3 separate regions of the Mus musculus genome follow, and regions 1 and 2 are each reported to be linked to region 3. The links are microRNA targets in miRTarBase. Many come from high-throughput screens and were not tested one by one. Region 3 holds a microRNA gene; each other region holds the end of a gene's coding sequence.

Region 1 (3,000 bases), not on the chromosome of region 3:
GCCAGGGCTCAGCAGGAAAAAAAAAAAAAATCACAGGATAAGTACATGCCATTTGAGAACATAAAGACCAAACCAGTGAGTGGAAGAGCTTTTCTCTCTACAGAGCCCACGGTAAGCAGGGGATTGGGGGACTGTTTTTGTTTGTTTTACCTCAGTATATGCTTGGCCCACGTATTAGAAGGTGTGGCCCTGCTGGAGTAGGCATGTCACTGTGGGCATGGGCTTTAAGACCCTCATCCTAGCTGCCTGGAAGCCAGTCTTCTCCTAGCAGCTTCAGATAAAGATACAGAACTCTCAGCTCCTCCTGCACCATGCCTGCCTGGACGCTGCCATGTTCCCACCTTGATGATAATGGACTGAACCTCTGAACCTGTAAGCCAGCGCCAATTAAATGTTGTCCTTATAAGAGTTGCCTTAGTCATGGTGTCTGTTCACAGCAGTAAAACCCTAAGACATGTCTATTTCAAGACTTTCATAATAAGTGATGACAACCAAGTTAGTGGCATAAATCCACTCAACTCGTTTCGATAACTGGAAGATTTGTATGGGAGAGAATGCGTATTTTAAAATGTCAGGGGCTGGGGCGGCTCAGTGGTTAAGACTACTTGCTGCTCGTGCAGAAGGCCTGGCTTCAGTTCGCAACACCCACATGACAGCTTACAACAGACAGGCTGTAACTCTGCTTCCAAGCGACTCAATGCACTCTTTTGGCCTCTGCAGGCACCAGGCCCAAGTGGGGTGCGTGCGTAGGCATACCTGTAGGCGAAGCAGTAATATACAGAAGAAAATAAAAATTAATTTCTTTTTAAGTCAGAATAGAAAAACAATCATGCCAGAGGCTGGAGACTCAGCTAAGAGTGGCTGCTACTCTTGTAGAGCCCTATTCCCAGCAAGGCTCACACAACCACCCACAGCAGTACCCACGGGACCCTACGCCGCTGGCTTCTACAGGCACCTGCTCTCATAGGTACATAAATATGTACATGATTTTTTTAATGAATTTTTTTTAAAAAAGAAAAAATTATGCCAAAGGGGAACACTGTATCCAGCCTTGAAGTGAATCTAAGAAGCTGGCTAGCAGCGCACAGGCTTCTGAATAAAGGTGTGAAAGGGGAAGCTGGATAAAGTCTCAGAGACCGAGAAATTCAATCCTTTACCCTCCACATACAATGCACCTGGAGTGTGATGCCCCAACCAGAGCCGTCTCGGGCGTCTCGGTGAGCAGGCTCAGGCGCCTGCTCCTGACTGTGGCCTTGGCCCTCCAAGCCTCAGGTTTTTTCTTTTTCTTTTTTTTTTTTTTTTAAAGATTTATTTATTTATTATATGTAAGTACACTGTAGCTGTCTTCAGACACACCAGAAGAGGGAGTCAGATCTCGTTAGGGATGGTTGTGAGCCACCATGTGGTTGCTGGGATTTGAACTCAGGACCTTCGGAAGAGCAGTCGGGTGCTCTTACCTGCTGAGCCATCTCACCAGCCCCCTCAGGTTTTTTCTCTGCAGGACCGTGATAAGCCACTGAGCACAAGGCACACGCCTGTGGCCTTGGGAGTAGGGTACAGGGAGAGGCACCCTGGGGTTGTCCAGGGAGAGCTGAAAGGGCTTAGGGTCCTTGTTTGAAGAGTGGTCTCCAGCAAAAGCCAAGGGTCTCCTACAGGCTAACCTGTGCAACTGCTCAGTTAAGAAGGCCACCTCTCAGTCAGCTGGGACCGGATGCGGTTCAGTGTCTCTCACCACACTGTCACAGACCGAAAAGTTCACGTGGGTACGAATTTATTGACAGAATTTCCTTTAGCAATTATTTGAACACAGAGAGTGTACTGTACAGCTGCAGACATGACAGCGAACCCATAGGCTCTAGAAGGCTGTAAGGCTTGTCACCTTCAAGGGACAAGGGGGAAGGGGAGGGAAAGGGATGGAGAGACATGGCAAGGGAGAGACTCTTTTAAAAGGAATCTGAGATGTCTTTCAGTTTTCAATTATAGGAAGAAATGACAATACAGGAAGTAATGACATCTGACAATTTAAGCATTTTATCCAGAAACATATATCTATTCCATAGATACCAAATCCATTACCATATAATTGAGTTTGAAAATATACAAAATATTTGTTGTTCTTACATACTGAAATTAAATCCTAATTTTAAAAAGTGCACAGTAAAAACAGCGTAAGGAAACCTACAATGTCCACGGGTATGTGTACTGCTTTCCATCTGACTGTCAACATGGGGCTCTGTATTTGCTTCTGTTCACAAATATTCTTCAAAGGTCTCCAGGTCACAGACAGCACTGGCTCATCTACCAAGTCCAAGGGCACACGGCTTCCCAGCGGTCACCAGCACTGGCTGTGGAGTCTGGCTCGAGTCTCAGGGCAGAACAGTCACTGCGGTGGCAGCCTAGGTCATCAACTACCGATTCCGGGTCTTCTTAGAATTCCCCTGTGCAAAGAAAAGTGTCCACCCTAAGAACACAAGTTTCACAAGTGTTCTCACAGCGTCCAAAGCAAGCTGCCAGGGGCCTTGCTGTGCCGTGCAGCACGGTGGCTTCCCACACAGACAGCCTGCGTGGCAGCTGTCACTCCGCCATCACAAAGCTTCTGACTCCCCGCTCCCCATCCCAGACCCAATCTCTCCCAGGGCCGAGGGCGGATGAGATAGAAAAGCGGGTGAATACTCAGTTTACCGAAATTCCTTTTCTTACGAAATTTCAGGAAACAAAATAGTTTTGGCCCAAATATTTTTGTTGTTGCTTAAATCCACAGGTTTTGGAGCAGTGGCTCTCGACCTTTCTGCTATGAATTGTCATGTCAGTAACTGTGTTTTCCAAGGGTCTGAGGTGGCCCCTGAGAGAGGGTCATTCAAGCCGCAGGGTGAAACCCGCTGTTTTAGAGCTGTTTTAGAGCTCGGAGTAGTGGCACAGAGCTCTCTCACGGGGTGCTCTCACGACGTTCTCCTCTCTCTGGAGAGGGTCGCTTCTTAGGACTGCATTCCAATGAAGTCC
Region 2 (3,000 bases), not on the chromosome of region 3:
ATTTGCTCAGGACAAGCTCACCTTTCACATCTGGAAAGAAAAACAAAGCTGGTTTCCCTGCTTTATGAACTCAGGTCCCTTCCAGCAAGAAGTCAAACTGAGACATCATCATCTATCTATGATAGACGACCCCCCTCAGGGCAAAGATGCTGCACTAGCTCATTTCAAGGACACACAAGCCCTTTCTTTCACTCACCCAATTACCTTGTCTTCAGATAGCTAGAAACCACACTTACTTACTTTGTGTGGGGACACAAGACAAGAGGGTATGTGTGGAGGTCACAAGACAATTTAAAGGGGTCAGTTCTTTCTGTTGGGTCCTGGGGACTGAACTAGGGCCCTAAGACTTGGTGGCAAGTTCCTGTACCTGCTGAGCCATCTATCTCATCAACCCTCTTCAGAGCATCTTATTATCATTTGGAATTTTGAGTATTTGTCTGGATGCTGGTTGCCTATCACCAGCCAACCACACGAGTGTTCATACATGCATATACGCAGAGGATAGGAAAGGGTGGAGGTGTGGGGGTTCCTGGAAAGCACAGCTTTGTGCTTCCCTGGGCTCTGCCTGCTGTGGGGCCTGCCAGAACCCAGGACACGTTTATCAAGTCCTGAACGAATGAGGAGGATAAACTAGGAGCAGACCGTGCACACCAACCATGGCGCTGTTTCAAAGTTGTGCTTTAATCTCTGCAGTCAGCTCCAATGCAGTGAGACATGTATAAACTTTCATTAACACCCAGAAAATAAACTGCACAGTGAAGCTGACTCAGTCTAATAGCTTAATCCCTTAAATTTTTAAAATTTAATTAAAGCTAGTTTATCTTCAGTGTAAAAACATAGAGGTATAAACAAATGCAAGTGTTATACACAGTAAATTATTAACAGACACTTCCAAACTTGCACAGTGTGTTTTAAACAAATGGTCTTATTGTATCTTTTAATGTTAAGCATAATCCACATCTCAATCTTGAATAAAAATACACAATATATAAACCCACGGGAAGTTCTGTACACAAATCCAAGTTATAGAAATCTGGCTTCAAATATAAATACATAAGTCATAACCACACAGGTCATAACAGCTTATTTACTTTTTCTATTGTGATTTAAAAAAATAGAAAAATATTTTAATGCACATTCAACTGCTATACCAAGGGTCATGACCATGTGCCTTTAAACCATACGTTGTGAAGTACAAAACATCACAAGAGGCATTTTTTGGAAAGAAAATCACTAAGACTGTAGAGTCTACCATATAAACATTCACGTTATAATATGGTAACAAAAATAGTTCTCTCCGCTGAGGACTTGGGAGGCAGAGGCTGAGGGTGTGGCAGAGGCTCAGGGCGTGGCGGTTAGTGCTAGTTTAGAGAAGCCCAAGGAGCCCAGGGAGAGGGAGCTAAGGACTGGTGTGTTCTAAGTTCCTAGCGCAAGCCTAGCACGAACCTGGCCTGAAAGACTCTTAAGGCAACCGAGACTGAGTGCATTTGTCCCCAGAAACACAAATCCTGACCTCCCCTCAACTTGCTGGGTCAACACACCAACCCGGATTGTGCATTATTATGGAGGGAGACGAGGAAAAATTATCATTATGTATGAAAGATGATTCAGTGCAATCAGAAAGGATTCTTTGTGAAGTTTCAAAATGTCTTATTGCCCATGAGCAACAGAGACGCCCTCAACAGGACCTCTCCTGACCAGCAAATATAGATAAAAGGCAAACACTTGAGGCAGACTCAATGAGGTCCCTCGCCCACTCCCACTCTTCACACCGTTTGTGGGACTGAACAGGGCTCTGTTGAGAATGATAGGACTGAGCCTTACAAAGGATTCTTTCAAACATTAAAAAAATATATATCTTTAAGACAGCAGATCCAAGGTGACTAGGCAGAGCTGGGTTTCTTCTATGGCTTTTGACATCGCTGAGGCATATATGAGTGATAACTGCTTCTGACACGACCGCTTTCCTGTGAAAGCCACATTCGAATTGGCCTGCCCACCCCAGCATCTGTGAGGGTAACGGGGAAGGCAAGGGGACCAGCTGAGGGGCTGCAGAGAGGCACAGTCCAGGTGTGGTGAGCAGAGGGCCAAATGTGTGGTCAAAACTGAGGGCTCCAGGAATGAGCTCCCCTGTGGAAGACAGAGGACTGCCCCCAGTTTAATCAACAGGTCACAGCAGCAGGACCCTGGGACGATGCACACCAAGGTAGACTCATAGGATGGTATGCATAGAGCAGGAAAAGGGAAGGTGGGAGTGACAGCAAAGGAAAAGGGAAGGAGGCTGCCCGCATCCTGTGTTGTTACAGCCCAGGAAGGAGGGGCTGAACATTAGGATGGATGACACCAGCAGAACTGTCCAAGTTCTCTATGGGCTGCGTGTGTGTGTGTGTGTGTGTGTGTGTGTGTGTGTGTGTGTGTACACGCACGCATTGGAATATGCTATGGTTTAAGTCAAGGAATATGCTATGGTCTAAGCACATCCCTGAATACCTCTTGTTCGGAATGGCTACATAATTATCTTGGCACAGAAACAACAGGAGGGAGCTCTCACAGCAGCCTGGCCGTGAGCCATTCTGTATACATATAATACAGATGTCAGGAGACGACCCCATCCTATGACAGGTCAAGGAGGAACTCCGTCCTATGCATACTAGAGGCATGGCTTTCATTGAATGTCTTCCAGAACTGTGGAAGAAAAGGAGAACAAGCTCTCTTCCCAAAAGCCTCTGCTCTTTCCTTCACACCACTGGGCTAACACCGTGACACCAGTCCAGGGAACAACTGTCCCACCATACAGTGTGCCTCTTTCACAGTCCCTGAGGAGACAGGTCACACGTCCCCTAGGTCCACAAACTCATCTTCTCGTTTGGCCAGGTCATCTTCGCCTCCTAAAGCTTTCCAGCCACTGGTGGGTAAGACAGGCTTGGCCGAATGTCGCTGGAGCAGTGCAAAGGGGAACAAGGAAGACAGGCGGACTGAGTTCCTGAGCAGGCCGGGTGC
Region 3 (3,149 bases):
TGAAGTTGGACAGAAAGAGGGAAGGCCACGGTTTTTAAGTAAATGTCCCATCCTGGAGGAGCAATGAACAAATTTCTCGCGAAATACGAAGCATCCCCTAGGGGTTCATTCAACCGCTGGCTTGGCCAAAGGACACTTTGCCGGGATCTCAGAGCCCTCGCTAATTTGGTGAGCTGTGTAGTAAGCATGGACGCGCCCTCATGAGTATCACTATAATAACTACAGAGAAATGAGCTGGGAAAAGGCGGACAGAGCTCCTTTTCAAGAGTTATGAATGAGGAGAAAGTGTTTGTAGAACTCATTGTTAAAACGGTGGAGCCAAAACTCGGGCGCCTGGCCAATCGGAGCCTGGAGGCTATTTTGAAATCTTTCCAGCAGCAGCCAATAGGTGCGCAGGAGGCAAAGCTTGGTGTAGGCGCAAGCCAATGAGGCTGGCGCTGTGCCTTGAGGCCCGGGGCTCGGCCCTCGGGACTGTCAGATGGTTAAAGATGGAGCCGAGGGAGAGAGGGCGCCACGAGGTGCTGAGGTGCGGGGTTGTCCAGATATGACGGGGCCGCCGCCTACCTGGATCTTCCACTAAGCTTCACCTTGTCCCCCTGGTGAGAACAAGAGGTGTCTGTCCACGTGAGTAACTGGTCTGGGATAGGGTGTGCGGTGAGGCCAGGGAAACTCCAGATGCCAGGAAGCCCTAGTTCTGCTCTTCTAGGCAGGAGAATCTGTTAGGATAGAGTGCAGAACTCATACTGGGGGAATGGACCAAGGACCGGATCTCGGACTCCAAGGGCCTCACGTGCAAGGAGTGAAGTATCCCTCTTATTCTAGTTCTGGTCTGAAACAGGGTACAAGTAGTCCCACTGTGCTCCCCTCTGCAACTGAGCGCAGGCCTCTCTCCTTTGTGTTTGAGCCCCCTCGGGTGCTCGCCCTTCAGCTCCCTCCTTGGAGTACCTCACCAGAATCAGAAGCCTGTTAGAGAAAGTTTGAGTTCCCTGAAGTTAATAAGTCCAGAGGACTGCATCCGGGCTGGAATCCCGTCTGTTCTCCGAGCTTGGATAGATGTCCCACCCACCCATGGTGGTTGAATTTCCAGCGCAGCCCTGCGTGCAGCGAGGGCGATGGATTTCCTGCTGGCTGCGGGTGCTCTGACTAGGTTGCACTACTGTGCTGTGAGAAGCAGTGCAATGGTATTGTCAAAGCATCTGGGACCAGCCTCGAAGACCACCTCACCTACTGTTCCTTCTTTCTTCCCTTTCCAGGCCTGGCCCCTCAGGCCTGCAGGCCGTACCCTCCCCCTGCTCATTTTACTCTCTTCTCCATGGAAACTTGAGATTGTAGCCAGGCCCGTGTCTCTGGGGTCAGAGGGCATCCTTTGCTCAGGCCGAGGCTCCGCCCAGGTGGGCATGCGTTCTAGGTCTAAGATCCCACTCCAGCCACCCCAACTCCCCATGCCCCGCCCCACCCCGTGAGACTGACAGGCTTGTTGGACACTCTTTCCCTGTTGCACTACTGTGGGCCTCTGGGAAGCAGTGCAATGATGAAAGGGCATCTGTCGGGCCAGCTAAGGAGCCTGAGGAACAAAAGGGTCAGTGCTTGGATCATAGTCTTAGATAGAGATAGCTATCTCTAGCTAAAAGGATAAGGTGGATGCTGAGAACCATATTCCAAGGCTGGAACCAGTACAAAGGGGAGACCCCAGATTTGGAAAGGCTCCAGTCTCAAGCTCTTAGCCCCCTCCCCCCAGGTTAAGATAGGGGAGTCTGCTGCAGGGGGCGCGGCGGTGAGTGAATGGTAGGTAGCTCATGCCTTAAATCTCAGCACTTGGAAGGCAAAGGCAGGTGGATCACCCAGATCTAGGGCATCCTGGTCTACATAGTGAGTTTTAGGACAGCCAGGGATACACAGAGAAACCGTGTTTTGAGAAAAACCAAATTAACTAATTAATTAATTAATCAATTAAAAAAGAAAGAAAGATTGGTGAGCCCATGTCTGGAGGCTGATGCAGGAAGATTGTCTCAGTTTTGAAGCTGTCTGAAGAATCAAAACAAAACTAGGAACTCCAGGACCTTGTGGAGAGAAACAGATGTTCACCTCTTTGTATGGAAAAGGTTTGTATACCTTGCTTAGCCTTGACTGCCTCGGGAAGAACTGGACTCAGCCTTTCCTGAGATAACCACACCTTGGGTTCACACCTTGAGGCTCAGAAGAAGTGTCCTGCCTGGGCCAGATGGATGGACTTGGAACAAGAAGCCTGCAGAGTAGGCCTGCCAGCCATGTCTGCTTGCTCCTTTACAAAGAGGGTATGTGCTGAGTAGGAGAGGCATGGAGGTGTCTGGTATGTCTGCTTTCCAGACAGGGCTGGAGCTCATTTTTATTTATTTATTTATTTATTTATTTATTTAATTTATATGAGTGCACTGTAGCTGTCTTCAGACACACCAGAAGAGGCCATCGGATCCCATTACAGATGGTTGTGAGCCACCATGTGGTTGCTGGGATTTGAACTCAGGACCCCTGGAAGAACAGTGCTCTTAACCACTGAGCCATCTCTCCAGCCCTGGAGCTGAATTTTTAAGGATGCCCGATCCTTAGTGTGCTTGCAGAGTTACCTTTAGCGGCAAGACCCAATGGCCCATGCCTTTGAATGCAGCACAGGGAAGGCATGGGTAGGTAGATCTCTGTGAGTTCAAGGACAACCTGGTCTACCCTGCACGTTCCAGAAGAGCTATATTTACATGGTAAAGCCCTGTTTCAATGCACCCACCCCTCTTTTACAAACAAACAAAAACCTAGTAGGAGGTGGTCAGGCCTGCCTCCTTGAGAGGAGGCCCAGGCTTCCAGATTCCCTTTTGGGAATAGATTGAGAAAATCAGCCTTAATAGTACTCTAGCTCCACAAGTCCTGGCACCCATGGGGACTGCTCTGATACATAATGAGTCTCAGGCCTGACGGAGGGCTTTGATGGGGAAGAAGCAACCACACTCCTTTGTGGCTAGGGTAGACGTGTGTCAGCAGCTGTTGCCACAGCAGATCCATCCTGAGGTGCTAGGAATCCTAACATGTGCATATCTTACATATCTTACATGTGCATATCTTACATATCTTACATGTACATATCAGGGGAGGTCTGGGCCGCAAAGGATTTAGGTTGGCTA

The links. The annotated mature microRNA mmu-miR-301b-3p reads CAGUGCAAUGGUAUUGUCAAAGC and lies in region 3 at 1,172-1,194, shown strand. An mRNA with a match to its seed (bases 2 to 7 or 8) in the 3' UTR can be bound and repressed. Matches are read on the target gene's strand: a 7mer-m8 pairs with bases 2 to 8, a 7mer-A1 pairs with bases 2 to 7 and ends in A, and an 8mer does both.
Region 1: miRTarBase lists Ppp1r21 as a target of mmu-miR-301b-3p. The part of its 3' UTR that is shown has no 7-base or 8-base seed match.
Region 2: the mRNA of Mtmr12 is a reported target of mmu-miR-301b-3p. Seed matches in the 3' UTR shown: 7mer-m8 at 1,610-1,616.

Annotation. Positions count from the first base shown.
Region 1 is chr17:88,587,122-88,590,121 of GRCm38, reverse strand. Ppp1r21 (protein phosphatase 1, regulatory subunit 21) reads right to left here. Exons shown (of 22, transcript NM_028658.4): 22 at 1,755-2,438. The coding sequence ends at 2,409. Among named protein-coding and RNA genes, the nearest start is that of Gm31704, 37 kb to the left of the region's middle.
Region 2 is chr15:12,269,901-12,272,900 of GRCm38, reverse strand. Mtmr12 (myotubularin related protein 12) reads right to left here. Exons shown (of 16, transcript NM_172958.4): 16 at 661-3,000. The coding sequence ends at 2,830. Among named protein-coding and RNA genes, the nearest start is that of Gm52210, 49 kb to the left of the region's middle.
Region 3 is chr16:17,122,465-17,125,613 of GRCm38, reverse strand. It overlaps Mir301b (microRNA 301b), which reads left to right and starts at 1,118; the gene lies at 1,118-1,214. It overlaps 2610318N02Rik (RIKEN cDNA 2610318N02 gene), which reads left to right and starts at 412. Exons shown (of 7, transcript NM_001358255.1): 1 at 412-624. It overlaps Mir130b (microRNA 130b), which reads left to right and starts at 1,472; the gene lies at 1,472-1,553.